Linked DNA regions of Tamandua tetradactyla. The protein of the gene in region 2 purifies or fractionates together with the protein of the main gene of each other region. This does not show direct contact. Links are inferred from orthologs where the notes say so. Each region holds a gene or a part of one and is shown on either strand. Other genes may lie near its edges.

Evidence for each region.
Region 1: the proteins of PEX19 (region 2) and FAF2 purify together in Homo sapiens (affinity purification with mass spectrometry; 4 studies listed by BioGRID and IntAct, counting the BioPlex papers as one, with this or other methods). This does not show direct contact. The link is inferred for Tamandua tetradactyla from reciprocal best matches to the Homo sapiens genes PEX19 and FAF2.
Region 3: the proteins of PEX19 (region 2) and NAT14 purify together in Homo sapiens (co-immunoprecipitation; 3 studies listed by BioGRID and IntAct, counting the BioPlex papers as one, with this or other methods). This does not show direct contact. The link is inferred for Tamandua tetradactyla from reciprocal best matches to the Homo sapiens genes PEX19 and NAT14.
Region 4: the proteins of PEX19 (region 2) and PXMP2 purify together in Homo sapiens (affinity purification with mass spectrometry; 3 studies listed by BioGRID and IntAct, counting the BioPlex papers as one, with this or other methods). This does not show direct contact. The link is inferred for Tamandua tetradactyla from reciprocal best matches to the Homo sapiens genes PEX19 and PXMP2.

Annotation. Positions count from the first base shown.
Region 1 is NC_135346.1:57,868,269-57,875,378, forward strand, and holds the start of FAF2 (FAS-associated factor 2), read left to right. Parts: upstream 1-4,049; 5' UTR 4,050-4,783; coding exon 4,784-4,846; exon of another isoform or gene 4,847-5,005; intron 5,006-7,110. UniProt on the Homo sapiens protein: Plays an important role in endoplasmic reticulum-associated degradation (ERAD) that mediates ubiquitin-dependent degradation of misfolded endoplasmic reticulum proteins.
Region 2 is NC_135330.1:13,332,742-13,340,698, reverse strand, and holds the start of PEX19 (peroxisomal biogenesis factor 19), read left to right. Parts: upstream 1-4,906; 5' UTR 4,907-4,968; coding exon 4,969-5,038; intron 5,039-5,809; exon of another isoform or gene 5,810-5,834; coding exon of another isoform or gene 5,835-5,868; intron 5,869-6,491; coding exon 6,492-6,601; intron 6,602-7,034; coding exon 7,035-7,200; intron 7,201-7,634; coding exon 7,635-7,720; intron 7,721-7,940; coding exon 7,941-7,957. UniProt on the Homo sapiens protein: Necessary for early peroxisomal biogenesis. Acts both as a cytosolic chaperone and as an import receptor for peroxisomal membrane proteins (PMPs).
Region 3 is NC_135342.1:4,247,112-4,255,142, forward strand, and holds NAT14 (putative N-acetyltransferase 14), read right to left. Parts: upstream 3,110-8,031; 5' UTR 2,965-3,109; coding exon 2,893-2,964; intron 1,640-2,892; coding exon 1,091-1,639; 3' UTR 496-1,090; downstream 1-495. UniProt on the Homo sapiens protein: Probable acetyltransferase. May act as a transcription factor that regulates the expression of coproporphyrinogen oxidase by binding to a promoter regulatory element.
Region 4 is NC_135331.1:1,211,201-1,218,690, reverse strand, and holds the start of PXMP2 (peroxisomal membrane protein 2), read right to left. Parts: upstream 3,166-7,490; 5' UTR 2,948-3,165; coding exon 2,826-2,947; intron 1,082-2,825; coding exon 965-1,081; intron 1-964. UniProt on the Homo sapiens protein: Seems to be involved in pore-forming activity and may contribute to the unspecific permeability of the peroxisomal membrane.

The DNA.
Region 1 (7,110 bases), on a different chromosome or scaffold from region 2:
TAATACAATTATGTTAAAACACTGAATGAAGCTGAATGTGAGAATGATAGAGGGAAGAGGGCTGAGGGCACAAATGAAATCAGAAAGAAGGATAGATGATAAAAACTGTGATGGTATAATCTAGGAATGCCTAGAAAGTATAATGATAGTGATTAAATGTACAAATTTAAAAATGTTTTGCATGAGGAAGAACAAAGGAATGTCATTACTGCAGGGTGTTGAAAATAGATGGTAATTAATATTTTAAAATTTTAACTTATCTGTGAGTCTAGAGCAAAAAAATGTTTTTTTGGTACAAAATTTATATTTTGACTAGTGCAGTTCCTAACATAACTTATGTGGACAGCTTAATTGAACACTGTATGTACATGGAACCTTGAGTAGGGCATAAGATTTGGTAGGTTTGTCCAGAGTGATGCCCTAATAAACCTCAGAGTGATTTGAACAGTGAGTAAAAAAGTATTTGCAAAGTCCCCTTGGGGGAATGGTGAGAAAGGGGGAAATTTCAACTCTCCCCAAGTGGAGAATTCTTGATATTCTCATAAGCAGTGGGGACAACAAAAGCAATAGGCTGAGTCTCCAATCTTGGGGCTTGTTCATACGAAACTTAACCCCACAAAGGATAGGTGAAGCCTACTTAAAATTAGGCCTAAGAGTCACCCCCAAGAGAACCTCTTTGGTTGTTCAGATGTGGCCTCTCTCTCCAGCCAATACAACAAGCAAACTCATCACCCCCCACCCCCCGCCGTCTACATGGGTACATGAGACATGACTCCTAGGGGTGTGGACCTTCCTGGCAATGTGGGACAGAAATCCTAGAATGAGCTGAGACTCAGCATCAAGGGATTGAGAAAACCTTCTCAACCAAAAGGGGGAAGAGTGAAATGAGACAAAATAAAGTATCAATGGCTGAGAGATACCAAACAGAGTTGAGAGATTATCGTGAAGGTTATTCTTATGCATTAAATAGATATCGCCTTGTTAGTCAAGATGTAATAGAGAGGCTGGAGGGAACTGCCTGAAAATCTAGAGTTGTGCTTCAGTAGCCATGTTTCTCGAAGATGATTATATAATGATACAGCTGTCACAATGTGACTCTGTGATTGTGAAAACCTTGTGTCTGATGCTCCTTTTATCTACCTTATCAACAAATGAGTAAAACATATGGAATAAAAATAAATAATGGGGGAACAAGCATTAAATTTAGTAGATTGAAATGTTAGTGATCAATGAAAGGGAGGGGTAAGGAGTATGGTATGTATGAATTTTTTTTCTGTTTTCTTTTTATTTCTTTTTCTGAATTGATGAAAATGTTCTAAGAAATGATCATGATGATGAACATGCAACTATGTGATAATATTGTAAATTACTGATTATATACGTAGGACGGAATGATCTATGTTAATGTTTGCATTTGTTTGTTGTTATATTGTTAAAAAAAATTTTAAATAAAAAAAAATGGCAATTCTGTCCCTGATTCAGATAAGTTCTGAAATCTAGAAGGCCCAGCCTGTCGAGAACATCAGATAGTTTCATCTCCTTAACCCCTATATTAGTGTTAGACCCTTGCAATATGAAAAAGTTAGAATGGCCATAGCCCAAACACCCCTAAAGAGAGAGAAAGATCAAAGGTGATGGTGGAGTTATACAGTGACAATAGGATTTATCAAATGAATATGAATGCTGAATCATTAAACTGATACCTTTTTTAGTCTCGAGTATCTTAGAGCAGCTAGAATTAAAAGCCTAAAATCGTGGAATTATAATCCATGTCAAATTCTGAAATATGTTCTACAACTAATTGTGGTGCTGTACTTTGAAATTTATTGCTTTTTTGTATACATGTTATTTTTCACAAAAAAAAAAAAGGAGAAAAAGTTGATTGTGATGATAAAAAAAATTTAAGCCTTCTAGCCTCCTATATTCTGGAGCAGTTAGAAGGAAAAAAATCTGAGGTGATCATATGGCAGCCCATGACAAACTTTGGGATCTGCATAGTAACTACTTGTTGAACAGTGCTTTGAAAACTATTGCTTTTTTTATTTCTTTGCTTTGTATACATGTTATACCATACAATAAAAAAAAAAAATACAGACAAAAAAATGGCAACTCTGGTCTCTCACATGGAAGCCGTCAGCTATAGCTAAAAAGCAGCAACTACCTTTGGACAAGTGTTCTAGTTTGCTAGCTGCCGGAATGCAACATACCAGGAATGGAATGGCTTTTAAAAAGGGGAATTTAATGAGTTGCAAGTTTACAGTTCCAAGGCTGAGAAAATGACCCAATTAAAACAAGTCTATAGAAATGTCCAATCTAAGGCATCCAGGGAGAGATACCTTGGTTCAAGAAGGCCGATGAAGTTCTGAGTTTCTCTCTCAAGTGAGAAGGCACATGGTGAACACAGAGTTTCTCTCTCATCTGGAAAGGCACATGTCAAACACAGTCAGGGTTCCTCTCTCATCTGGAAGGGCACATGATGAACATGGTGTCATCTGCTAGCTTCTTCTCATGGCTTCCTGTTTCATGAAGCTCCCCAGGAGACATTTTCCTTCTTCATCTCCAAAGGTCGCTGGCTGTTAGACTCTGCTTCTCGTGGCTATGTCATTCTGTTCTGCACTCTCTGAATCTCCCATTTTTCAAAATGTTTTCTCTTTTATAGGACTCCAATAAACCAGTGAAGACCCACCCAAATGGGTGGAGACATGTCACCTAATCCAGTTTAACAACCACTCTTGACTGGATTACATCTTGAGGGAGACGATCTAATTACAGATCCAAACATACAGTATTGAATAGGAATTATTCTGCCTTTATGAAATGGGATTTAGATTAAAACATGGGTTTCCTAGGGGACATACATCCTTTCAAACCAGCACAACAAGTAATGGCTGGCCCTCCAGTTTTCCATCTGGTGTCCCTTGCACTAGGCAAATTCTTACAGTAGAGTTTTAAAGAACAAAAACGAAACATTTCCTGTAACCAAGTCTTTATCAAAAGATGAAAACAGAAAGACAAGAGGATATATGCTTCAGGGCGGGCCACGGTGGCTCATGCCGGAGAACTCGGTTCGATTCCCAGTGCCTGCCCATGCAAAAAAAAAAAAAAAGAGAGAGAGACTATATGTTTCTTTGAGGAAATGAAGAACATTCAATGGTGATGAACAGAACTACAAAGTATTTCTGTTGAATGAATATATCTTAAACAAACAACAAGCCAAAGAAAGTTAGGATTGTGATTTGCCCTCTCTGTGCTTCACTCACTTATGTGACCTGCCTGACTCCGGAGGACATCTGACTTTGAAAACCCACATCTAGATTGTCTGGACCCAACCTTATTGGAAATGCTGACTAGCATCCAATCTCCCTTGAGTTTCGAGTTGATGGAATAAATTCCTGATGTTAACAGCTGTTTCCTTCCAAGCTAACCTTAAGGGTCTAAGAAGAATGGCCAGGAACATTGTTCGCGAGGTTTGTGGAGACCTGTTAAAATCTGATACAGGCCTGTAAGGAAGTGGTCAAAATCCAAGCCCTTTAATCTCTTAGTGTACAATTCCAGTACTTCAGTTTTCAAAGCGCTTCCTACCTTCTGTCACCTGGTGAGCTTTACGAAGCGGGCAGGAGCAGGAGTCACCAGATGAGGGCACACCGGACAGTGGGGACCGGGAGGCCAAGCGCCCTGCTGGAAGTCACACGAAAGCATGTATCAGACCCAGACCTCTCTGCCTCCCCAAGCCTTCCGGAGGGTGGCAGGTAAACGGCAGGAAAGAGAGAAGTGGAAATGGAAAACAGGGATCTGCGAAGAGGAGGCAGGCTGGAAGGGGCAAGGAAAGGGCAGGGGAGAAAGAGATGCAGGGGGGTATACGGCCCTGGAAACAACCTAAGGGAAAGGTCTTCTTGTCCGGAAGGTGAGAAGGTGATAAGCAGAGGCGGCTCGTCTGAGGCTGTCCAGAAACCTCATTCCACCAATGGCAAAACGGAACCCAGAGATGAGGTGGTTTGCCCATTTCTGACAGCAGGGTGGGTGGGAACTAGAACCTAAATCTGATCCCAGTCCAGGTGCGAGAGAGACATGAGAAGGCATGAGGCAGGCAAGGAAAGGGAAAGGCTCTACCGCTAGCTGGTGAAGCCGTTAGCTGTCAAGGACCCACAGGGGTTCAAACACCCTTAGCAAGCGACTTTGAAGTTGCCGCTTAAACGCGACCAAAGCCTCCCGCAGTTTCCGGGTGGAACGCGGCGTCGGAAATGCCCCACCGGCATTCGGGGACTTTTCGGAACGTCCCGAGAGACGGTCAGGAGCTCGAAAATCGAGGCAGAGCTTTTGGACACGTCAGAGCAGGAATCTAGCATCAAACTGCCGCCGATAGTTCAGAAACTGCATTTCCTGAGAAGCATTCGGGAATGTCCAAGATCACCGGGGAATGGTGAGGGAGCAGGAGAAATGAACCGAATGACACTCGGGAGTTTCCGGAGCTGTTCGAGGCCCATTCGGGATCTCTCGGCTCTTTGAGACCCATTCAGGAGTCTTAGGTCTCTCGTTGCTCCGTTCAACGCCTGTGTCGTGCGGACGACGCGTGCTAAGTCCAAAAGCGTTCGGGATCGGCCTGAGAGTGGCGCCCTCCGACGGCGGGAACTGTCACCACTTCTGGCAAGGCCTCGGTCGGGGGGCCAGCACGCGCAGACGTACTTAGTCCCTGGCGGCCGCTCGGCCCGGACGTGGTTGCCGTTGAGGTCATTTCCGGCGGGTGACGGTGCGGACGGGTCAGAAGCGTAGAGGCGGCGGCAAAATGGCGGCGCCTGAGCAGCGGGATCTAACCCAGGAGCAGACAGAGAAGCTGCTGCAGTTTCAGGTAGCAGCGACTACTTGGTGCGGCAAACGCCGCGGTGAAACGGGGGATGGGTTCCCCGAGGAGCCCAGAACCCTCCTTAGATTGGGCCCAGGCGGGATCCTTCTTAGATCAGCCGGCAGCCCCCTCCCCCCCAGATGCCAACTGCCCTGCATCCCTGGTTTCCCCGAGGCCCGGATCCTCTCTGGGTGCCCGGCCGTCCAGCCTCTTTTCCCTATCTTTTTATCCTTGGCGGGTCAGTTGCCTCAGGTTTTCCTCAGCGGCTCCCGTCCTCAGCCATCTTTCCCAGCCGGGCTACCGGTCGGACCCTCTCCGCCCAGCGCCTACTCTACAGATGTGTCGGAGGTGCTTAATCCCTCCCGCGGAGCTGGCTTCATTTCGGGTCTATGAAAAACTTCCTACCTGCAGGCCCTGTCTGTTCCTCCTACATTTACTGCTGGCCTCATGGCTGTCAGGTTTCCTCTTTGGTGGCGGAGAGGGCGCCTGTTGGCGGGTCTGGCCCCTCACCCTCAGAATCTTAAGTATTGACAGCGGCTTCTGAAGGAGCTCATTATTCAGGATTTATTCCTGGACTACTGTGCTTGACTGTGCCTAAGGAGGGTGATAACTTGCAGGGGTCTGCCTCCTTTTATTGGCTGTTGTGTTCAGTACATTTGGCACTAGGCATTTATCTCAGAGCTTGGAATCTGGTTGGAGAAGGCCACTAGGGTGGGTAACCTTGGCTGTTTGTTACCTTGGTGGATACCAGTTTCCTTATCTCTAAACTGTATATCTTAAAAATGTCTCCCTTCAAAGGATGTTGTAGAGATCAAGTAAGCTTATGGAGTCAGAAGTACTTTCTAAACTGTAAAATGCTCCCAACAATCTGCTGCCGTTCATTATTATTTAAGAAAGTAAAATTAGTGGTACACCTAGTTCTGCAATATTTATCAAGAGCCACAGTGCTCAGGCACTGTTAGGTACAATACCATTTATTGAGCATTTACTATAAGCACTTTGCCAAATGCTTAGCATACATTATCTTATTTAATACTCACAATAACCCTATGAGGTTGATACTGTTAGAGTCCCTGTTTTACAAGTGAGGACTCAAAGGCTTAGGCAGTAATATGCCTAGGTTACACAACTAGTAAGTGGTGGTGCTAGATTGAAAGTCAAGTCCATCTTTTCAGAACCTTTCTCTGGCTCTTCTGTGCTGTGCAACCTATATGTAAGTTTTAGTGTATAGCTGAAGGAGTGGAATGCAAATACTGTGATGCTAAGTTGTGCTGTGTTTTTTCATGTGTGCAAGTTCTCACTTTAATGTAATTTCCTTGAGTAGATTTCCCTATACTTAATTTTGAATTTTTTTGTCTTCCCTCATGGAATGGGTTCAAAGTATATAAAAGGAAAAACGATTGAAGAATTAGCTGACATTTGTTTAGAGTTTTTGAATAGAGAAATTGATGACACAGCAAATTAGAATCAAAGATAGATGAACAGTGGACAACTAGCTTCCATTTTCTACTAGATCACCCATTTCATTGGGAAGACCTTTTTACCCTTCTTACAGGGGTAAGTCCCAGTGTTTTAAGTGTAATGAGTTGATGTAAGTTATAAATAATGATGTGCTTGGTCTGGTATCAGAAGAGCATGAATATGTGGTAGTATTTCTGAGGTAAAGTGCATAAAAACTTCCATTTTGTTTTCGGTGGACATCTAGATCAGTAAGAGAGGTGGGTAGTAAGTTAAAGTTGTATTAAGGTTGCTTTATGAAATTGGGTTTAAGGAGGAGATACAATTTGCATTTATATATTCTTTTATTCACCTCTTGATCATATTCATCATTCAGATTACCATTAAACATTCTTTGAAACTTACTAGGTGTCAAGTGTTATACCAGGTAGTTTAAATCTCTTATTAACTCTGTAAAGTGTTAACCCGTGTTTATTTTATTAATGAAGTAACAGGTTCTGCAAGGTCAAATAATTCACACAAGTAGTAAGTGACAGAGGTTTAGAAATCCATATCCATAGCCATCTTACCTATAACCTTATGGGAGAAGCCAGATTTAAACACAGATAATGGGTATCCTGCAAGGTATTAGTGCTTGTGATGTAAAGTGGTATGAACACAGTGCTGTGAGAGCTTAGGAACAAGTCAGAGTAATTATGGTAAGGGGGAAGAAGTATGTCTTATAGTTACCTTTTATTGAGAATCTGCTATGCCCTAGGCATAAACATATAACTATTATGTTTAATCTTCACGGTAGCCTTGTAAAGCATAAT
Region 2 (7,957 bases):
TCTGATATTTGGCTCTCCCTGCCCTAAGACCTGGTATTCTTTTCTCTTCTGCCATGACTAATCAAAATATCTAAACTTTGCCTGTGAAGACCTCTCATCTTCTCAAGGTGACTGTAGTGGTAGTCATAGTTGGCCTTGCCTTCTCAGCTTTGATCTTTTAAGGAACAAATTAAAACTCAGTACTGAGCATTCATTTAGTAAATGCACTCATTCGATATTTATCCCTCTCTTCCCTACCACCTTTGTGTCATTTGTCTAGAAAGAAAAGGAATGTAGTAAGATACCATTTTTAACTCCGTCCTACCAAACTCTTAGTCATCCTCTATTTTCCTTGGGCAGTGAAACTCTCAAATTTCTGAGTACCCAGAAATTTAAGGACTGGGAGGGTACCATTTGGCTTTCCAGAAATGCATACCACTTTAGGTTGATTTGTGTCCTGCAACCATAGTTCTCTTATTTTGTTTCTCATGGTAAATAAACTAAATTTCTACAAGAGCTTCTTGGCTTGCTGTTTGTTTCTTGGACACTTTCTTTTTTTTTTTAATAATTTTATTTTATTTTTTAAATATCAAAAAAAGCCCACCAAATAAATGCAGACATTCCTATTTTGATCATTCTGTTCTACGTATATAATCAGTAATTCATAATATCATCACATAGTTGCATATTCATCATCATGACCATTTCTTAAAAAAAAATAAAACGAAAACAGAAAAAAAAAATTATACATACCGTATCCCTTACCCTCCCTTTCATTGATCACTAGCATTTTAAACTAAATTTATTTTAACATTTGTTCCCCCTACTATTTATTTTTATTCCATATGTTCTACTCGTCTGTTGACAAGGTAGATAAAAGGAGCATCAGACACAAGGTTTTCAGAATCACACAGTCACCTTGTGAAAGCTATATCGTTATACAATCATCTTCAAGAAACATGGCTACTGGAACACAGCTCTACATTTTCAGGCAGTTCCCTCCAGCCTCTCTACTACATCTTGAATAACAAGGTGATATCTACTTAATGCGTAAGAATAACCTCCAGGATAACCTCTCAACTCTGGAATCTCTCAGCTATTGACACTTTGTCTCTTTTCACTCTTCCCCCATTTGGTCGAGAAGGTTTTCTCAATCCCTTGATGCTGGGTCTTAGCTCATTCTAGGGTTTTTCTCAATCCCTTGATGCTGAGTCTCAGGTCATTCTAGGATTTCTGTCCCACGTTGCCAGGAAGGTCCACACCCCTGGGAGTCATGTCCCACATAGACAGGGGCAGGGTGGTGAATTTGTTTGTTGTGTTGGCTGGAGAGAGAGGCCACATCAGAGCAACAGAAGAGGTTATCGTGGGGGTGACTCTTAGGCCTAATTTTAAGTAGGCTTGACCTATCCTTTGTGAGGTTAAGTTTCATATGAACAAGCCCCAAGACTAGGGACTCAGCCTATAGCTTTGGCTGTCCGCACTGCTTGTGAGAACAAAAATTCAACTTGGGGAATATTTTTTTCTCAATGATTATTTTTAATTTCAACTTAAATAATTTTAATTTCAAAAGTAATAAACACTAAAAAAAGTACATATTTTTCACTTGATAAATGTTAGACATAGATCTAAATTGCTGTGAGAATGGTAGAAAGCAAGTATTCCCCTAGTCCATTTTTTACTGCATTCTTCTATCTATTGCTAGTTACAGCCAGTATTTATTAAACACTTTCCATTGCCTGTCACTGTTCCTGATTACACTGGTATTTTGCTTGTCATGTGAAAGGACTTAATTGGGTGAAGTGCCTTTGATTAAAATATGTCCTTTTTAAATTTTTATGTCTTTAATAAACAATACATTCACAGAATTCAAAAATCAGTGAGTGTGAAAAGCTAAACTGTTAAAAGTCTTCTTCCCGCCTTTTCCCTCAATATCCAGTTGTTATCACTTTCCCCCAAAAGGTAACCATTATTATGCCCTTAAATCCTTCCAGAGATTCTTTTTAATGTATAAACAGGCATATATGAATATATTCTTCCCTATCACCCTTTAATACACAAATGGAAGCATATTATTTAACAATTCTGCATCTGGTTTTCTCACTTAGCATATTTTAGACTTGTCCATATCAGTGTATTAGTTTCTTCACTCTATTTTTACTTCTCTGCATAGTCTTCCATTGTATGATATGCCATAATTTATGTAAGTTTTATTTATCAAAGACATTAATAAAGTCCTTTTTGATGGACTTTTAACTTATTTCCAATGTTGCTATTATGAACAAGGCTGCAATGAATAATTTGATCATGCACTGTATAGGTGGGACAAGTATGTTTAATCTCCTAGAACTGAAATTTATATTTTTTACCTTTATTTTGAGTTTCTTTCTTTCTTTTCTTTTTTTTGACATGGGTAGGCACCGGTAAATGAATCCGGGTCGTTGGCATGGCAGGGAAGAATTCTGCCACCAAGCCACCATCACACTGCTCTTGAGTTGCTTTCTTAAGCAGTGTCCCCAAAGCCCGCCTTCTCAAAATTTTGCATACTACTTTGATAACACTTTCTCAAGCTACATTCTTTCTGTAAACATAGGTAAGCTGGTGATAATAACTTTTTTGTGAGTTTAAAAATTAAATTACAGGGCGGTGCGATGGTGGCTTAGCAGGCAGAATTCTCACCTGCCATGCCAGAGACCCGGGTTCGATTCCCAGTTCCTGCCCGTGCAAAACAAAACAAAACAAAAACAACAAATTAATGTGAATATAAACAGTTGCGTGAACTGAGATATGAAAAAAGTTGGCGGTCCTTGCCTCTTCAAGCTTATCTAATTTAGGACATACATATGAAATTGTGAAATTAGACAAAATTTTGAGAAGCACTGAAGAATCATTGCTAAGTCCTTAAGAGAGTGATAAAGAAAGAAAATGCTATAAGTACTGTTTTGAAATAATGTTCACTGTACAATAGAAAGGGAACAGCGAGGTGAGTAAATACCGAGATAATAGAAAAAATTTAAAAAGCAGAAACAAGTTTAAAAATACAAAAAGGAAAATTCAGGCTTCTGTTTGACTCCCTCTCTCTTAATTCTCTCAATTACCATCTAGTATTTTCCTTATTAACATGCTTATATTTCCCCATTAATGTAAGGCCAATAGAAATACTAACCTGTAAATGGACAAATTTTATACATGTAAAATGTTATCAATAATAATTATGTAAGCAATTCAGACCTTAATGAGAAAGGTAACCTAGAATCAATTACGTGACAGGTGTTGGGGAGAAAAAGGGTTGCATAGGAAAAGATTTGACTATAGAAGTTTAGAATTGAAAAGGATTTTAAGAGTCCCAACTCTTAATGTTACATGTTTGTAATCTGAAGTCTACAGTGGTGGAGAGTTTTGAACAAAGACACAAGTTGATTTAGTGACAAAGCTGGGAACTAGGATTTGGGTCTTCTGACTCCCAACTCCTTCCGGTTTTCTCCTAAATTACACCACTTGTGCTTGAAAAAAAACATAGTAGATTTTGCACAGGTATAATTTTAGAAGCCTGTGTTAGATCTGTGAAGGAAAGAATGAGTACCTAACGTGGTGCTTGATACACAGAACCCAGATGTTTGTTTAGGAAGCTGAGGACCAAAAGGATGAAGTGACTTACACATTTTTTCCCACCTAGATGTGATTTCTCCCTTCTTTTACTTTTTTTATCCTTAACTCTTTTCAAATACTTCAAGTTTGTGTCATAGTAAGTGTGTATGTCTGTCTAGTCCTACTTTTAGCCCAATTCCCAAGCAGCTACATTAGGGCAGGGGCTGGTCCTGATTTATCTCTACATCCTCCATTGTACCCAGCACAAGATCTTAAACAATAGCAGATATCTCTAAGTACTACAATAGATATGTTGCATTCTGGCATATCTGAATGGGAGACATATTCCAGAGGAGGGAAGGAATACCCAGAGTTCTCCCTATCTGAGCCTATCCCACCTCACTCTCAAAATTAGATTGGGAGTTGGATTCTGTATGAGGAAAAAATAGGAACGTCCAAAGACTAGGTCAGGTCTATTGCTAACTACATTGATTGCTCTCTTGTTCAATTGGAAGGCCCCACAGTCGTTTTTTCTGCCTGAGTTGATTCAGCTAACAGTGAGTTATTAAATTCCTAGTCCTGTGTCCTTTAGTCAGATCAATCCTTTTGGAGAATAGGAAATGAGATAGCTATCCATTAAATTCGGCAGAGAAACATGCCTGATAAGCGTCTGGGGAGCAAAGAGTCGCCAATTAGTGCCTACTAAGTACCGGGCTCTAGTCTACAAGCTGGGGATACAGCAGTGGAGACAACAGGCAAAATTCCTTGCCTTCTAGATGCTTAAATTCTACCGGGGCAGGGTGGGGGAGGGAGATGGCAACAAACAAGGTAAATAATAAAATGCATAGCATATCAGATAGTATTAAGGCAAAAAAAAAAGAGTAAGTAGGAAGTATATATGCTTGTGTGTATGTGGGGGGGCGGGGAGTGCAGTTTTATTTATGAGGCCAAAGAAAGCGTCTCAGCGAAGATGACATTTGAGTAAAATACCAAAGGAAGTGCGAGAAAAATAATGGATTTCTACGGACCATAAATGTCTTCTTGGTTATATATGCGTAGCATCTGTTTATTTGTAAGCAGCTTGTAATAATTTGGTCCCACCACAGCTTGAGTAGAAATAATGAAACGGCTTCTTCTCTGGGTAATATGGGAAGCTGAAAGAAAGGAGGCCAGGCGCGGAAGAAACCAGGTAGAAGATAATTAATTCCCCTCATATTAGTTGAACCGGTTCTGACAGAAAAAAAAAAAAAAAAGCAAATTAAAGTTCCTGTCCCTTTAAAAATGGCGGCGCCTACTCGCTAACAATACCATTGGTTGTACAAAGCAGGAGGGGGCGGGGCGAGAGGCCGGGCACGTGGCGGCGCTGAGGAGTCCCGCCTCCTACGGCGAGTCGTAGGTAATAAGATGGCGGCCGCTGAAGACAACTGTGAGGTTACGGCTGAAGCGGACCAAGAATTAGAAGAGCTTTTGGAAAGTAAGAGTCAATAACTGGAAAGGCCCAAAGGAGGCGGGTGTGAGGACCCATTCAGGGGATTAAGTGAACCTGATATATGTGGGGCAGAGTGGGAGAGGCTCTCCAAAGGTTGGACGGGGGCGGGCGAACCAGAGTGAAATCTCTGGATCACCCTCTCCCTACTCAGCGGCGGGAGCTGCGGAGTTCACCTTGGGTCCCTGAGCGGCCCAGACCGTTGATCTCTCTGGGAAGATATCCCAGAGATGGGAAAACTGTAACCCATAGGACGATATCTCTCCAAGCTCTCCTTGCTTTAGATCAATACATTCTTTAAGTTTGACTTCCTTTCCGCCAGCAGCAGCATTTTGTCCTCCGTGGACAGCGAAGCAGATACTTATAGATTGTTCACATTAAATCTTCAAAAGCCCTAGATTGTCTTTCAGTGCCCCTGGCCTGTCCACACAAAAGACACTTCGTTCCTCCTCCCGTTATTTTCACCCTTCTCTCACCCCTTTCCAGTTCTTTGATCCTGTCATTAACTCTAGTGGATTTCTGCCCCATTTGTTTAAGAAACTGAGAGACGACCTCAGGGGAAGCCAATTCACTCTCATAAAAGACGATGTTCTTTTCTTCTTTTCCCTATTCTTCACAACTCTGTTGGTTTCTTGCCCAGAGTGGGGTCAGTGCCCTCCCCCCAGGCCTGGCAAGCAGAGTGGTGGTGACATCACACGCTTTACAGGGCGGAGGTGAATTTTGCGTCTCTAGCTCAGTCATAGTGATTGTGGGAGCGGGGTGGGGGGGGAGAGGGGTCAGAAAGATGAACAGAAACAGTGGAGGAGTGTCAATTGAAGGTGAATTGGCACGTGATTATTTGCAGAGATGAGACCAGAGGGATAATTAAATTGGACAACAAGAGAAGATTTAAAGCCCTCCCAGGGAATGCATAATGTAGTCCCGCAGTTTGCAATAGTACCAGGTCTGATAGGAAGCTAATTAAGCCTCCCATGAATTAAACTAAACATCATGGTTTCTGTTTTCTTGCCTAAGATTATTCCCTTTACGTCTCCAAAGTGAGTTCAGGGAGCTATGGATATCTATGTTCCCTACTCCTGTTGGATATTTGTATAGAATTTCTAGGGAATCATTAATAGAATGTGTTGAGGAAGGCACAGTAGAGATGGAGGTGTACTTTGCTATTTGCAGCACTTCCTTTAACCTTCTTCCAGCTCTGAGACATATTTGCCTATTCTACCATAAATGATTTCTTTCCCTTTGACTGTAGTAAATTAGGTAATGGGGAGGGAAGTGGGAAGCTTACTGTGGTGTAGGTGGGAAGGGAAGACTTAAAAAAGAAAAAAAAATTAGGAAAGTTGGCAGTTTGTAAGATCATTCTCTTAATGCTTTGTCCCAAAAGCACCCAGCCTTGCATCCTTACCTGTCCTCAACACACTCCCCATGTCTCTTGTCTCTGAAGGTGCTCTTGATGATTTCGATAAGGCCAAACCCTCCCCAGCACCCCCTCCTACCACCATGGCCCCTGATGCTTCGGGGCCCCAGAAGAGATCGCCAGGAGACACTGCCAAAGTATATATTCCACCCACTTAAGGGAAGGGGAGGGAATGTTCTTGCAGCTCTGAGCAGAGGTGGGGCAGGGCAGGCCCCTGTGGGCCAGAGGGGAGTGGGGCATGGTGCCTTGGCCTCACATTGCTGAGTGCTTTTGCAAATGTCTGTCCTCGTGAAACAAGGACTTGAGATTGAGTGGAGGAATCTAAAGGAAGTTCCTTGAGAAAAGAGAAGGTTTAAATAGCTGGCTTGGGGTGCCACCCTATATTCTTCCCTCAGTGGTTGGATGCCTTTCTTTCTGTCCTCATCAGGAGAGGCAGTTAGAATCTCCAATGGAGGTGAGTAGGAGGGAAGCACTGCATTTCCTTAGAGCCATTCTCTGTGGCTTCTGCTAGGGCCCAGGTACAGTGAAATGCCAAGTAGAAGATGCATTTTGACCACCCCTCCCTTGCAGGATGCCCTCTTTGCCTCCCAAGAGAAGTTTTTCCAGGAACTGTTTGACAGTGAGCTGGCTTCCCAAGCCACTGCAGAGTTTGAGAAGGCAATGAAGGAGTTGGCTGAGGAAGAGCCCCACCTGGTGGAACAGTTCCAAAAGCTCTCAGAAGCTGCTGGGAAAGTGGGTGAGAAGGGGTCTCCAAACAGCAGGAAATACATAAGCAAGCCATTTAAGTCATATCTGCTTGAGAACACCAGAATTCTTAGTAAGGTTGACAGTAGTCATGATGCCACTGCCTTGGGGTCAGGTGAGGAGATGGAGGGAGGAGTGGGAACCCTCCTTAGTGAAAGGGATGAGATAGGTTGGAAAGTAATAGAAATGATTATTCAAAACTGATCATTTTTAAGATCACAATGTTATTCTGGGTGTCATCATGCAGAATAAACAGATACACAGTCTGTGCAGATTCATGACAATGACTAAGATACCATAGAGTAGTAGATTTAGTGTGGTAGTGATTCAGTAGTATTTGTTCCAGATCCGAGCTTGTAACCAGGTCAGTCTAACCAAGTAGACAGTTACAATCCTAAATGACCCTGGTTTTTTTATTGCTCCCAGGCAGTGACGTGACCTCCCAACAAGAATTCACTTCTTGTCTAAAGGAGACACTAAGTGGACTAGCCAAAAATGCTACTGACCTTCAGGTAAGGGGATAGGGGCGGGAAACTACAAGACACCATCACCAACAGAATCTCAAAAGACAAAAGCTCTTGGGCATCATTCCAAGTCCTTCGCTCCCTTACTGTTTTGCTACAGGCAAGTGTAAAATAGTTCTTATCTGGGCTTCAACTTTCCCAAATGAGGGAGTGGTGACATATACCAAGAAAGCAGTATAGTTACTCACTTTTCTCCTGTCTTTTTTAGAACTCGGGCATGTCGGA
Region 3 (8,031 bases), on a different chromosome or scaffold from region 2:
TCTGACTCAAATTAACCACTGGGGCTGGGGGCTGGGTTCATGTGGGGCTCCTGGTACAGTGAGAGGGCTTACAGCCAGACAGCAGGAAGGACTTCCGGATTAGGAAAGGAGACAGAACCACTCTACCCCCCCAGTCAATCTGACTGCAAAGCCCTCCCTCCGTCTGAGTGGTCCCAGAGGATGAGAAAAATGGGAGGGGGCGGGAGGGCTGAGAGTTAAGACTTGGATGGGGGAGCAGCACCCTCCACTCTCTAGCTCTCACTCATATACTCAGACCCGCTCTCTGCACCAGCAGCTGTGAGGCGGAAAAAATTCGGTAATGGGGCTTGTGAGTCAGAAGGGCGGACCGAGGCTGCTGTGAGCTCATCACCCCCTTCTCCCAGGCCCTCCCTCCCACACCAATTAATGTCAACTTGGGGAAGGGAGGAGCCAGACGGAGGGGGGATGGGGGGATCAGAGAGAGACTGGAAAAGGCATCAAAGAGAGGGACAGACGCACAGCAATCTCAGGCTTTATTAACAAATGCCTTAAAAACCAGATGGGTCTGGAGGAACGGGGGCGGGCGGGGGCTCCTGGCCCTCTCAGCTCTCCAGCTCCTCTGCCCAGGGGCCCGCAGCAGCCCTGCACCCACCTCTCGGCCCCAGAGCCCCACTTCCCAGTGCATGCCCTCTACTGGCAGCCCCAGCCCATTCCCAGGAAGGCCTTCAAGACCTAACTCTTGGGAGCCCTCTTTGCTCGGCGTCCTGCTCCACAAACATCTCTCCCAGGCCTGAAGCACAAACAGAGCTTTGCAGACAAATGGACCAGGAGATTTCTTAGTGCAGAAAGAACTGAGGGTTGGACTGGCTGAGCTCTGGGGTCCCCCTAGGAATGGGAAGGAAAAGAGGGATTCCACTCTGAGGGGCTCAAACGCTACATGCTCGACACTGCAGATGTCAGGCAGGCGGCGGTGGGTCCCTTCCCCTCAGTGGGCCTTAGGGTTCTGAGTCCTGGGTGGGTTGGGGATTTGCTGAGGGACCACTCACCCTCCCCCAAAGGGCTGTGGTGAAGGGAGCAACTGGCCCAAGCCCAGCTCTCAGGCCGGTTGGAGTCACAAGTCTTTGCTGAACTCTCTCACCAACATGTACCCCATGTAGCCCCAGCCCCCCTCAGCCTGGTAGCCGCAGCCCTCCAGCATCCCTGCCACCCCCCAAGCTGCCACAGCCACTGGGACCACAAGCTGGGCCTGGGGCTCCCCCATGCCACCTGCCCAGGCCTGGGCTCGGGATTCAGCGAAGGCCAGCAGCCTCCTGCCCACACCCCGGCGGCGGTGCCAGCGGGAGACAGAGAGACGGGTGACCTGGGCCCCGCCTCCCGCATGTGGGTGGGGGGCCAGAGCCAGGACCCCGCACACATCACCAGAACTCTGGACTGCTACCCAGGGGCCCCCCAGGCTGCCTGGAGGAGGCAGTGAGCCCCACCGGGCCCTCAGGCCCATCTTCACGGCAGCCACTGCCAGGAACACGGGCAAGAGGAGGGCCAGGGCGAAGGAGGCCAGGATGAAGCGCAGACCGCTGCTGGCTGCCGCCAGGAGGAGCAGGGCTGGCGGCCGCGTCAAAGCATGCAGGGCCACACGATTTTCCATGTCCTTCACGCCGGCCTGCAGGTGGGAGGGGTGGTCAGAGGCAGGGACAGAGGCAGTGGGCAGCAGCAGCCGGTAGGAGGACTGACTGACAAGAAGGGAAGGCAGGTGGTAGGTCTGTGGTGGAGGGACAGGCAGGGATCACATCTGCTCTGTTCACAGAATTCTGTGCACTGGGTGTTAGATGGGTGAGTGAAGGAATGAGCAAATGAATGGATGAGTGAATGAATGAATGGACAAACAAGTGAGTTAGTGAATGAGTGAATGAACAAGTGATGAATGAATGGATGGGCAAGAGTATAAATGAATGAATGAGTGAGTGAATGAATTGCCAAATAAGTGCCTGAATGAGTGAACAAATAGATGAGTTGTGAGAATGGGTGAGTGAGTGAGTGAATAAATGAGTGAGTGAGCCAGGCAGTGAAAAGATGAGTGAATTAGTGAGTGAGCGAGTTGTTGAATGAACAAATGAGAGTGTTGAATGCAGGGGTTAATTAGGGAATGAATGAGTGAATTAGTGAATAATGCATGAGTGAACTGGTGAACACATGAATGAGTAAATGAATAAACAAACAAGTGAATGAATGTGGAGCATTAATGATTGAGTGAGCAAATGATAACAGTGAATGAATGAATGGCCAAGTGAGTGCCTGAATGAGCAAATCATGAATAAGCAAATCTATGAATGAGTGACTTAATGAATAGATAAGTGAGAATGGATTAATGAATAAATGAATAAGTGAAAGCATGAATGAATGAATGAGCTAGGGACTGAAAAAGTGAGGAAGGGAATGGGTAATGAGTGAATGAATGAATAAATGAAGAGTGGATTAACAAATGAATAAGCCACTGAATGGATGAACAAATGAAGTAGTGAATGAATGAATGAAATGAAAAAGGGGGTGAGTGAGTGGGTGGGTGAACTGGGCGCCGCCCCCACGGCAATCCAGGCCCATTGGTGGGCACCAGGGACGTGACCCCGGAGGGGTCTCAGGGCATCCTCCTCCAGGCAGCGAGTGCTCGGTCCCAAGGGGGCCCGGTGGGGGTGTCCGGGCCTAAGGCGGGCCCCTGGAGATGGCAGGAGGGGGGGGCCACGGCCGGGCCGAGCAGGCTGGAAGCCAGGAGCCCCGGGACGGCAGTGGGTGCCGCGGCCGGGGTAGCTGAGACCTGGGGAGGGCGAAGGCGAGAGGGACGGGGCGCGCGCGGCGGGGTGGGAGGGGAAGGCCGGGCGGCAGGGGCTGGCCCCGGCCTGCACCCGCTCGGGCTCTCACCTTCAGCATCTCCAGCACCAGGGCCTTCTCCTCCTCCCTCATCTCCCGCACCGACAGGTGGCCGGGGGCCATGGCAGCCCCGGCCCGTGCCCGGCAGGACAACGGTGGGGCCTGCGGGAAACGCGCAGTCAGCGGGAACCGGGGGTCACCGGCGCCAGCTCCCACATCGGCCGCCGCGACGCGACCAGCCCTTCCCGGCGCGCGCCGCGGGAGCGAGGCCCTGCAGGGCCGTCCAGGGGGTCGCGGCGGCCCGGGGCGGGGGCAGGGCGGCGGGGTCGGGAAGGGTCGCGGGCGGAAGTGACGCGCGCCTCGCGCCGCGGGGGAACGCCTGCACCCGCCTTAGCGCCCGCGGCCCAGCGTCCCGGCGGGGGTCCCGGGCGAACCGGCCGCGGGCTGGAGCGGGGGTGGCTGCACACGGCCGAGGGTGCCGGGGAAGGAGCGGGGACGGCCCTCCTCTGCGCACTCCGCGTCCCCACGCCCCGTTGCTAGGCGACCCGGGCGCGGAGCTGGAGTTGAGCGCCGAGCCGGGGTGGGGACGCGGCGCCCGGGTTTGCACTTACCCGCGCCGGGGCCCCCGCACTTGGCGGCCCGAGCCGGGCGGCTCTGTCCGGGACCGTCCACCCCAGCCCACCGGGCGCCGGGGCCCGCGGCGCCCTTAGAGATAAGTGCCCACCCACGCCCGTTGTTCAAATGAGGGCGGGGCGACTTCAAACACAGGCGTCCTTCTTAAGGACGGGAAGCGGCCCCCAGAGAAGACTGGCCCCAAAAGTCACAGGTGCAAGACCGAAGACTCCAGGGGCCCAGGCCACTGCTGTGACCGTGACCTCGCCCCTCCCCCCTCCCTCTCCTCTCCCCCCTCCCTCTCCTCTCCCCGCCAAAGCAAACAAAGGAGAGAAGGTTCTGAGTCTTTATTAACAAAGCCAGCCTACAATCCACTCCCGCCCGCCCGAACACGAGCCGGGGGGTACCAGCGGGTCTCCTCAAAAAGTGTGCACCAGCTGGACTGCCGGGAGAGTCTGCACAATCTGGATGGAGGGCAGGCCCGACTGCGCCACGCCTCCAGCCCCAGCGGGGACCACTTGTACCATTTGGGAGGTGGGACTGACGGGGAGGCCGGTGGGGCCAGTGCCTGGGCCAGGCGGGGGAGGGGCCAGCAGCTGCAGAGTGGCCGGGCCTCCCCCCAGGCTGCTGCTCTCCATTAGCTCTGGGGCTTGAGCGCTGCGGATGATGAGGAGTTTCTGTCCTGGCGGGCCAGGGGCTGGGGGCTCGGCCAGCCCAGGAGGGAGGGTCTCTACCTCCTGCACACAGAGCCGGGTCTGCTCCCCATCGGCCCCGCTCAGCACCAGGACACTCTGCAAGCCCTCGTCCGTCTGCAGCGTCTCGAAGTGGACATCCTGGACCACACCGGTGCTGGTCTCGCCATCCCCCGCCTCACCGGGGCCAGGGCCTGGGAGCAACTCCTCCGTGGCCTCACTCTGAACTACTAGGAGGTTGGGGGCCTCAGCGGCCACAGTCCCCCCACTGGAACTAGAGAGCTGGCCTGCCACAGGCTGCAGCTGGACCGTGGTCACCTCCTGGGCCGGCTGCAGCTGGACGGTGGTCACCTCCTGGGCCGGCTGCAGCTGGACGGTGGTCACCTCCTGGGCCGGCTGCAGCTGGACGGTGGTCACCTCTTGGGCCGGCTGCAGCTGGACGGTGGTCACCTCCTGGGCTGGTCGGAGGGGCTGGAGCTGGACCCCACTCACTTCCTGTGGTCCTGCCTCCCCACCCCCCACGTTCTGCAGCACAATGAGACTCTGCCCTCCCCCACTGGCCCCTGCACTGCCCGCTCCCTGCACCCCCAGCCCCCCAGGGCTTGGTAGCCAGACCACACCAGTTCCTTGGCCAGCTTTCCCCACTGCTCGCCGGCCCTGCCGTACACGGCTGACCCCTCCTCCAGCAGCTGGGGAAGGCAGCAGGATGACCTTTGGGGGTGCGGGTGGGGGTGGCGGGGTAGGGGGCTGCACACTGCTGGGGATCAGTTGCAGGCCCTGGGCCGTCTGCACCAGCAGGAACGTCTGAGAGTTGGGGGTTGCTGGGCTCGGAGGTGGGGCCGAGGTGGGGCCGCCCGCCACCTCGAGGGAGAGTGTGGCCTGCAGATGAGGGAGAACATGGACATCTTGGGTGGGGGGCGGGGCTGCGGCAGACGCCAGTGGGGCTGGAGGCTGGGAAGCTGCGGCGGGGGCTGCGCCGCCGGGGGCCGGGTGCGCGGGGGCGTGCGTCCTCAGGTGCCGCTGCAGGTAGGCAGCCATGACGAAGCCGCGGCCGCAGACCGGGCAGGTGAAGGGGCGCTCGGCCGAGTGCGTGCGCTGGTGCAGCAGCAGGTTAGAGGAGTGCGTGAAGGTCTTGGGGCAGAGCGCGCAGCGGAAGGGCCGCTCGCCCGTGTGCACACGCTGGTGTTGCCGCAGGTTGGAGGTCTGCGCGAAGCTCTTGCCGCAGACGCCGCACGCATGAGGCCGCTCGCCCGTGTGCACGTGCCGGTGACGCCGCAGGCACGACGTGTTGCGGAAGGCCTTCCCGCACTCGCCGCAAGCGTAGGGCCGCTCGCCCGAGTGCAGCCGCAGGTGGTACTGGTAGTGCGATGACCACTTGAAGGTGAGGCCGCACTGGCCGCAGGTGAAGGCCCGCAGGCCCGTGTGCACGCGCTGGTGGATGGCCAGCAGCGAGGAGCGCTTGAAGGCCTTGCCGCACTCGCCACACTGGTAGGGCCGCTCGCCTGTGTGGTCGCGCAGGTGGTAGCGCAGCCCCGAGGAGCCCTTGAAGGCCTTGCCGCACTCGGCGCACTGATAGGGCCGCTCGGTGACCGCGGGAGCGGCCGGCGCAGGGGGCTCCTGCGGACAGGTGACCTCCGCCGCCTCAGCCTGCGGGGGCGGGCGCCCGGCAGCCGCCTCTGCCACGTGCGCCTGCTGGTGTGCCAGGAGGCTGGCCAGCTGCGGGAAGGCGCCGTCGCAGCTGCCGCAGCGGAAGGCCTGCCCGCCCGCGGCCCCGTGGCTGTGCTGGTGGCGGGACAGGCCGGCCCCGCTGCGAAAGGCCTTCCCACAAGGGAGGCAGGCGAAGCCCGGGGCAGCAGCAGGTGTTGGGGCAGAAGGTGGGGGCGGCGCGGGAGCTGGGCCCGGGTCAGGCCCGGGCGCGGGGACGGGAGAGTCCCGGGTCTGGGGCGCCGGTTCGGGCCCGGGGCAGGGCTGGTGGCCCAGGAGCAGCTCCTCACTGCCGAAGCCCAGCTCGCAGCCATCGCAGCGGTACACCAGCTCCACCGTGGTCTCCGCAGCTGCCAGAAAGAGCTCGGGGACCACGGGCTGCGGGGGCGGGGCGGGCGGGCTGTGGGTCTGCAGGTGCCGCTGCAGGTAGGCGTCCGAGGCGAAGACCTTGCCGCAAGGCACGCAGCGGTGCTGGGGGGCCGCGGGAACCCCGGGCGCGTTGGCGGCGGCCGCGCCGTGCGTGCGCTGGTGCAGCAGCAGGTTAGAGGAATGCGTGAAGGTCTTGGGGCAGAGCGCGCAGCGGAAGGGCCGCTCGCCCGTGTGCACGCGCTGGTGCTGCCTCAGGTTGGTGCTCTGCGTGAAACTCTTGCCGCAGACGCCGCACGCGTAGGGACGCTCGCCCGTGTGCACGTGCCGGTGGCGCCGCAGGCTGGACGAGTTCTTGAAGGCCTTGGGGCAGTCGGGGCACGGGTAGGGCCGCTCGCCCGTGTGCTGCCGCAGGTGGTACTGGTAGTGCGATGACCACTTGAAGGCCAGGCCGCACTGGGCGCAGGAGAAGGCCCGCAGGCCCGTGTGCACGCTGCGGTGGATCTGCAACAGCGAGGAGCGCTTGAAGGCCTTGGGGCAGTCGGGGCATTGGTAGGGCCGCTCGCCAGTGTGGCCCCGCTGGTGGTACAGCAGGGCCGAGGAGCCCTTGAAGGCCTTGGGGCAGTCGGGGCACTTGTAGGGCCGCTCTCCAGTGTGCGTGCGCTGGTGGTGCAGGAGCCGCGAGGACCAGCGGAACGACTTCCCGCACTCCCCGCACTCGTACTGGGCTGCGGGCGCCGTGGGCCCAGGCTTGTCCGCAGACCCCTCTGCAGTGGAGGCGGGCGCCATGTCCCCGTGGGAGCCAACCATCACACCTGGTGGGGGGGTGCTGGGTTAGGAGGGCCGGGGCTCTCATTCCATCTCTGCCCAGATGCTGTAGCCAGATGCTGGCCCTTTAGGATGCCCCTCCCCAGCCCACCTGGCTGAGGGCCCGGGGCCAGCTGGGAGCAGATCACTCTCCTCCAGGAGGCTGGCTGCCCCACCCCCACCCCAACTCCAGCACCCTGAACTCTTCCACTCTATTGAAGCCCTTCCTGAGTGGCCTCCGGCACTCCACTGCCCCTCGTCACTCTGGTACCCCAACTCCTAACCCCCAGGGTCCACCAGGTATGCCGCCCACTGGCCATCCCTCCTTCACGCCCTCACCCCCTCCTGGCCCAACCAGGACAATCACTCCCTGACCTGCAGTGCCATTGCCACACCCAGCCACAGGCAAGCAGGGCCACGGAAAGAGGAAGACCACAACCATGAGTGTGTGTCCTCACTGCTGCCCCCACGGCCCAGGCTGCACCACTCAGCCACACACACACACACACACACACACACACACACACACACACACGGCTGCCCACCTTTCTTTTCTTCTCAAACCTCCAACTCTAACCTCCCACTCCTGCTCCTGGAACAGGCAGCCTTGCTGTGGATTATTTCACAGAGGAAATAAAGGCATTGGAGAAGAATGAGCCTTCCCAGGTTTTCCAACCTCTACACCAGTGGATTGCAACTTCTCAACCGGGGTCAGCTTTGCCCCCCAGGACACTGGGCAGTGTCTGCAGACATTGTGCGATGTTGCACCTGGTGGGGCAGGCAGAGGGCTAGTGGCATTTAGAGGCCAGGCACACTGCTCACCATCGTACAAGGCCAAAGACCCAAAGGGCAGCAATGCCAAGGCAGGGCAACCCTGCAACACCACTGCCCACCTGGGAACTGGGTGCTGTCTTTCTCACCTTACCCCACTCAGTCCCAAGCTGCTTGGATGAGATCCCCAGCCACCCCCAAAGGGCTGAATGCAGTGGTCAGTTTCGGCAACGTCTCT
Region 4 (7,490 bases), on a different chromosome or scaffold from region 2:
CACCTGGAGCTGCACAGGCACCACTGCTACCTTTCATTCCACAGGACGAAGGGCACTGGGAAGGGAATGAGTCCAGTGCCTGGCCTTGTGGGGTGAGGGGCCTGCAACTCCAAAACATTCAGCAATAAAAAGGGGAGCAGGGATCCAGGACTCTTTCAACTTCTGACACTGAAATGATCTTTAAACAAGTGATTCACAGTTGTTTTTTCCCCACTATAAGACATTAAATGCCCAATAGCAGTGATTCTCAGCAGGGAAGAGAAATAAAATGTTGGGGATGAGAAGACTATGTAATTGGATAATTCCTTTGGGGTGCTTCTGATACATTTGCCCTCCCTGGAGAGTTTCTGCATTAAATACATGAGGGGAGAGACACGAGGACTGACATTAGTGTGCTGACAGGCACACAATGGTACTATGAACTTTGAATTTTAAAGAATCCCTCCAGATGCAGAAGACTTCGTAACAACCACTGAGCACACTCTTCTCAGACAGAAGCTCACGGTGGGTGTGGCTGGGTAAGACTCCCGAATCTCTGCTTTTGCAATTCAGAAAGTGGCTCACAAACTGCAGAATTTCAGAGGGATACCCAATTCTTTTCTGGTGTTTACACCATGAAAATATCGGCCCTATCTGAGTTGGTTTCACTCTCCCACGAGCCTAGGATGTTTTCAGGGTCTCTCAGTCTTGGAGTCTGATTTTAGGTTCTGGAGAGCTATGTTGTCCGTCTCTCAGTCCATTTTAAAATGCCCCCCACCCCTAGCCACCCATACAATTCAAAATAAAAAAGCATACTAAATTACAAAGTAAGTGAAGATAACTCCAACACCATTCTGATTTTTCCCATCATGATTACTTCAATGCTTTTTAAAAAAAGATTGCTTTTTCAAATTAGATGATTCAAAAAAACTGCTTTGTTGATTCTTAGTCTGCTTTGGTATAAACCAGCTTTATTGACACTCACCCATAAATGGCATATCTGAGAGGCCCAATGACATCTACATTTTGGGAACGTTTTTCTTTTTTCTGGTTCTTCTCAATTAGCTGAGCCAGGAAGTTCCCAAGTGCTGACAAAATGCCGCTGCAGACAGAGCAATCAGAAACCAGGGCAGTCAGTCTGAGCGCCCCTTCTCTGCGGGCATATTCACAGGTGCTCGGGGACCCTGCACGGGTGGACCGAGACAAGTCTTTAAACAGGCTGTCAGGTGGGCCACGGGGGCTCAGCAGGCAGGAATGCTTGCCTGCTAGGCCAGAGGACCCGGGTTCGATTCCCGGTGCCTGCCCATGTAAAAAATAATAAACAGGCTGCCGTCAAAGTTCCCTAAATGGAGCACAGGACTTAGCAAACGCACATGCACACACACACATACATGCATGCAATGTTCACGCACACACATGCCTACGGGGAAAACTGGAGAAATCTGAGTAAGGCTGGTGCCTGTACCCATGTGTGTTTCCTGGTTGTGACTACACTATATGACAGTACACTACAGCTCAGCAAGAGTATCCTGTGGTGGCGGGAGGGGAGGAAGGCGAATGTGGCTCCCCAAGGACAGCAGGAGAGTCCTTGAGATGATGGAGCACTTTCACCCTGCCTGTGGCACAGGCCGGAGCTGCTGGGCCCGCCTCCTCCATGCAGTAACGGGGCGCTCTGTGGGCAGCACTGTGCCAGGATGCAGCGGTGACCCTTACCTCTGACCTGGGCCTTGCCCCCCAGGCCCCTTCCCCGTGCCCCATCCCCTCCCCAGGCCTCACCCCTCAGTCCCCTGCCCTATGCCCCCCAGCCCCTCCCTGGACCTCAGCTCCCAGGCCCCCTGCCCGGCGCCCCCCAGGCCCCCTGCCCTGTGCCCCCCAGCCCCTCCCTGGGCCTGGCCCCCCCAGGCCCCTGCCCTGCACCCCCAGCCCCTCCCCGGGCCTCAGCTCCCAGGCCCCTGCCCTAGCCCCCCAGCCCCTCCCCAGGACCTCAGCTCCCAGGCCCCTGCCCTATACCCCCCAGCCAGGCCCCTGCCCTATACCCCCCAGCCCCTCCCCGGGCCTCAGCTCCCAGGCCCCCTGCCCTGCACCCCCAACCCCTCCCCAGGCCACAGCTCCCAGGCCCCTGCCCTATGCCCCCCAGCCCCTCCCCAGGACCTCAGCTCCCAGGCCCCTGCCCTATACCCCCCAGCCCCTCCCCGGGCCTCAGCTCCCAGGCCCCCTGCCCTGCACCCCCAACCCCTCCCCAGGACCTCAGCTCCCAGGCCCCATACCCCCCAGCCCCTCCCCAGGACCTCAGCTCCCAGGCCCCTGCCCTATACCCCCCAGCCCCAACCCGGGCCTCAGCTCCCAGGCCCCCTGCCCTGCACCCCCAACCCCTCCCCAGGCCACAGCTCCCAGGCCCCATACCCCCAGCCCCTCTCCGGACCTCAGCTCCCAGGCCCCTGCCCTATGCCCCCCAGCCCCTCTCTAGACCTCAGCTCCCAGGCCCACTGCCTTGCGCCCCCCAGCCCCTTCCCGGACCTCAGCTCCCAGGCCCCTGCCCTATGCCCCCCAGTCCCTCCCTGGACCTCAGCTCCAAGGCCCCCTGCCCTGTGCCCCCCAGCCCCTTCCGGGACCTCAGCTCCCAGGCCCCTGCCCTATGCCCCCCAGTCCCTCCCTGGACTTCAGCTCCCAGGCCCCCTGCCCTGCACCCCCAAGCCCCTTCCCAGGCCTGGCCCCCCAGGCGCCTGCCCTGCGACCCCCAGCCTCTCCCGGGACCTTAGCTCCAAGGCCCCCTGCCCCGGGTCCCCCAGCCCTTCCCCAGGTCTGGCCCCCCCGAGACACCCGCCCCCGGCACTCGGCCCGCGCACCTCGTGGTCGCCTTGGTAAGCACGGGGTAGAGCCGCAGGAGACGAAGGTACCCGGCCAGTGCCCGCCGCGGGAGCGTCCCGAACCCGGCCTCGCCCCGCAGCCTTGAGGCTACCGGCGCCATCGCCTTCCCCGAGTTCCCTGCCACAGACCCGTGGGGTCAGGGTCCGGGATCCGGGTGACAGACGGAGGACGGAGGGGGGGAGGTCAGGGTCCGAGGGGAGGAGCGGGGGTCATGGTCCTGGGGTCAGGGCCGGGGGTGGTCAATGCCGGGGGCGGCGGGGAGGGGCCAGGGCCGGGGACCGGGCGGTAAAAGGGCCTGGAAGGGGCCCGAGGCGGGCGCGCGCCTGCGCACACGCCACTCCGAGACCCGCGCGACCCCGCCCCCGGGCGCGGGGGGCAATGGGAGCGCCAGGGGGCAGGGCGCGCCGCGGCTCCTTGACTGGATGGTTCCGGCGTTGCCGGGCTCTCGCGAGAGCTGACGGGAGCGCGCCAACTTTTCCCCGGGAAAGTCTGAGGCGCGGGCGGAGCGGCGCGATGGTTCTGCCGCACGGCGGGCGTCGGCGCGTGGAGCCGGGCGCGGACGGCGAGGCCAGCCGGTGAGGGTCGACCCCTACCGGGGCGCGGCGCGAGGAGCGGCGGGGCGGCGGGGCCGGGGCTGCGCGGAGAGACGGGGCTCGGCCCTGGTCTTGGACCCGTCCTCGCCCGAGGCAGCCGCCCCGCCGGGGAAGTGGACAGAGTGCGGGGCCCGGGCGGCGCGGGGCGGGAGGCCTCCACGCTTCCGGGGCGACCCCGGGGCTGCCCCCGACGAGCCCGGGTTTCTGCCCTGCGGTCGCTGCTGGAGCGTCGGGGCCGCACCCGGTTCCCGCGCCTCGTCTCCGCGCCCCGGTCCCGGCAGCCCGCACTCCTTGCCGCCCCGGGATCTTCTCGGCATCGTCTCGCCTTGTCCCGTTGTTTTCTTCTTTAGATACTTGTCCTTGGGACCCCCTTTTTCCACAGCTGTGTCGGGATCTTCCCCAGAACCTGTAAAACGAGAATGAAGTCGGGTGGGAGGGCGGAGGTGGACGAGAATGGCGGGACAAGGCCGGGGGCCGGAGGGCGCCCCGAAGCCCAGCCCTGCGCGGACAGATGGGCCAGCAGCTGGGCTCCGTGCTTTATTCTCGTTGGTCGAGTCCTCGTGAAGCCCCAGGAGACAGATGCCGTGATTGTCAGCGTTTTGTACTTGAACCTGGGGTTTGGAGATGTGAGGTTCATACCTGCAGGCTGTGGAGAAACCTGTGCCCTTAGCGCGGCCACCCGGCTCGCGGCTGCTGTCCTTTCAGCAGATGCAAGGCTCTCCTAGGAATGAAACTGCTCTTGGGTGCTGCAGCTGGGGTCTAGACGCTCACTTAACCCTGACACAGCCGAGGAGCTACGAGAGCCCCGTGGGCAGTGGGCAGTGGGCAGTACCCTGGGCTCAGGCTGGTCAGGGGAGAAGAACGCAGCACAGACCACGCTGTCACGGGAAGAGTAGTCAGTAAACGGGAGACATTATTTTGTTACTATTATCCTGATTTCTTAGCTTTTGTAGGAGTCAGAGTTAGCAGTTTTTGAATCCACTTAATTCGACTCACTTGATGTGAGGAGAAGACATGGGTGATTCGGAGGAATGTAGTGTGGGAGGCTTATTTCAATCATGACCTAGGCCTCAGAATGAGCCTGAGTGCTCAGCAACGTTTGGAATACACTTTTTCTGGGTTTACAGGTGAATCTCGATATTTTAGAGATTGAACAGTCATATAGTATGCTGAAGGTTTTGTTCCCCATTGCTGCTGTGACAGATTACCACAGGGTTAGCTGCCGACGTAATACTGCCTCTCCTTGTAAGGCTGTGAGGTCACAGGTCCTGCTGCCAGGGTGCAGTGGGCGCATGCCCTCTGGGGCCGCCCCTCACCTCCTCCAGCTTCCACAGGCCACTGCGTTGTCGCCTTGTGGCAGACTCCATCCTCAGAGCCAGCGGCGTAGCACCTTCCAGTCTTGTCCTCTGGCTCTGGCCCTTCTGCGGACCACTGTGGTCACATTTAGGACCCACCCAGATAATCCGGGTTATTGCCCCATCTCAGGATCCTTAACTTGATCCCATCTCCAAAGCGCCCTAGCCGTGCAGGGGCACGTATTCACAGGTGCCAGGGATTGGGAGGGGGCACCGTTTTATTTCCCACAGGCGGTTGTACTCTCGTGATGTAAGGGCCCTAATCTTGGAATATGGTCATTCTGCTCTTCAGTGGAGGGGACCCAGGTTTTCTTAAGCAGTTCTGTGTCTGTTTCTGTTTATAAATCAATAACAGGTGAGATATGTTATGGTAACTAAGGGCCTGAATTCTGATCAGATTTGGTTTTTATATATGTCCATAAATTTTCCTTTCCTGGCCCCTGTTTTGGATATTTAGCTTGTTTAGATTGCTTCGTCTCTCCCCGTTATAAATAAAGCTATGATGAACATCTGTATATTAAAAACAAAGCTTTTCTGTACATCAGTTTCCCTGGCTTTGGAAGTAGCATTGCTGGGTTAAGTGGCATCAATATCTTAGAAACACTCTCACCTTGCAGAGAAATCTAATAGTGCTCAGATGGACTGGTCACATAGCTTCATCAAAAGAATTGTGGTATCCTAGGAGCGTTGAAACACACAGCAAGAGGCTAGAGTCTGATCCTGGGAGATGTGGGGTGGCAGAAGGGAAGGAATAAATATCCATGGAGAGTTGGGGAAGAACTGTTCTTTGGAACAATGTACTGCCCTTTGGAAGAGCTCTTAGGGAAACCGTCAGGAAAGCAGGCTGGCACAAGTGGGAGCGGGTGTATCTACTTGTGCCTGTGAGGCCGAGGCCACGAGCAAGTAGAGTGCACGCACCACCTCTCACCCCCCGGCCGGCACTAATTCAAGACCCGTACATGTTCCCTCTGCCGACTGCTTTATAGAGTAGCTCATGTATTTGTATTCAGACAGAAAAGCCTGGGGTATGGATTCTTAGCCATACGTTTTTGAGGAGTGGAGAATGTAAGTAGGAAATAAATAGGGCTTCTGCCCAAAATGTATACGCTTTAGAATCTGTAATCTTGTCCATTAGATGGGATCACACTGTAGAGTTAGAGTATGAGCAGTTTGGTGAGATTCTAAGGTCTGAAATCAGAGCAGATTTGAATAGTTCTGGGATCAAAAGTCTTCATCCAGGTACTTTATTTAAAGTTTGTGCTAAAAACTGTAAGAAGAGCTATTAGAAGAGCCTAACCAGAGAGAAGCTTGAGAAGTTTGAGACGGGTATATTGATATTATAGAACTGAGAAAGGTAAATTTCCTTGAGAAATAGTTCTTCTCTCAGAACAATTCTGTATCTCTATTTTTTAATCCATGTTCAGTTTGATATCTAGACCCTAGCATCCCAGAAGGACATACTGCATTTTTCATGTTTAGTTCTGCTGCAACCAATGTTTCTGTAACTCCAGTTAGCATGCAGTTGTAAATAGGAGAATGATGTCAGTAAAACCTGGAGACTGTACTGGTTCATTTGTGATTTTTCCTAGGCAAGGGGAGGCAGGGAGGGACCAAAAGAGAGGGAATAGATTATAATCTTCAGTAGAAAAGGAGAAGTCCAACAGTATATATAGTTGTGCATATATACTCCTTCACTCTTATTTTTTTTTTCAAGAAATTCTTACCTTTATTAGCTTTTTACTAAGAAACACTACATAAAGCACTATAATGGTTTAGACATTAATGTTTTGTTTCATACACATAATTCCTATAGCTGTTTTTTTTTAATTAATTGAAAAAAGAATTAACAAAACAATTAGAAATCATTCCACTCTACATGTACAATCAGTAATTCTTAATAACATCACATAGTTGCATATTCATCATTTCTTAGTACATTTGCACCGATTTAGAAAAAGAAATAAAAAGACAACAGAATAAGAATTAAAACAATAATAGAAAGAAAAACAAAAACAAAAACAAAAAACCTATACCTCACATGCAGCTTCATTCAGTGTTTTAACATAATTGCATTACAATTGGGTAGTATTGTGCTGTCCATTTCTGAGTTTTTATATCCAGTCCCGTTGTACAGTCTGTATCCCTTCAGCTCCAATTATCCCTTCTCTTTTTTTTTTTTTTAATTAACGGAAAAAAAGAAATTAACCCAACATTTAGAGATCATACCATTCTGCATATGCAATCATTAATTCTTAACATCATCACATAGATGCATGATCATCATTTCTTAGTACATTTGCATTGGTTTAGAAGAACTAGCAACATAACCGAAAAAGATATAGAATGTTAATATAGAGAAAAAAATAAAAGTAATAATAGTAAAATCAAAACAAAACAAAACAAAAAAAACCTATAGCTCAGATGCAGCTTCATTCAGTGTTTTACCATGATTACTTTACAATTAGGTATTATTGTGCTGTCCATTTTTGAGTTTTTGTATCTAGTCCTGTTACACGGTCTGTATCCCTTCAACTCCCACTGGGCATTATCTTACCCTGTTTCTACCTCCTGCTGGACTCTGTTATCAAGGACATATTCCAAATTTATTCTCGAATGTCTGTTCACATCAGTGGGACCATACAGTATTTGTCCTTTAGTTTTTGGCTAGACTCACTCAGCATAATGTTCTCTAGGT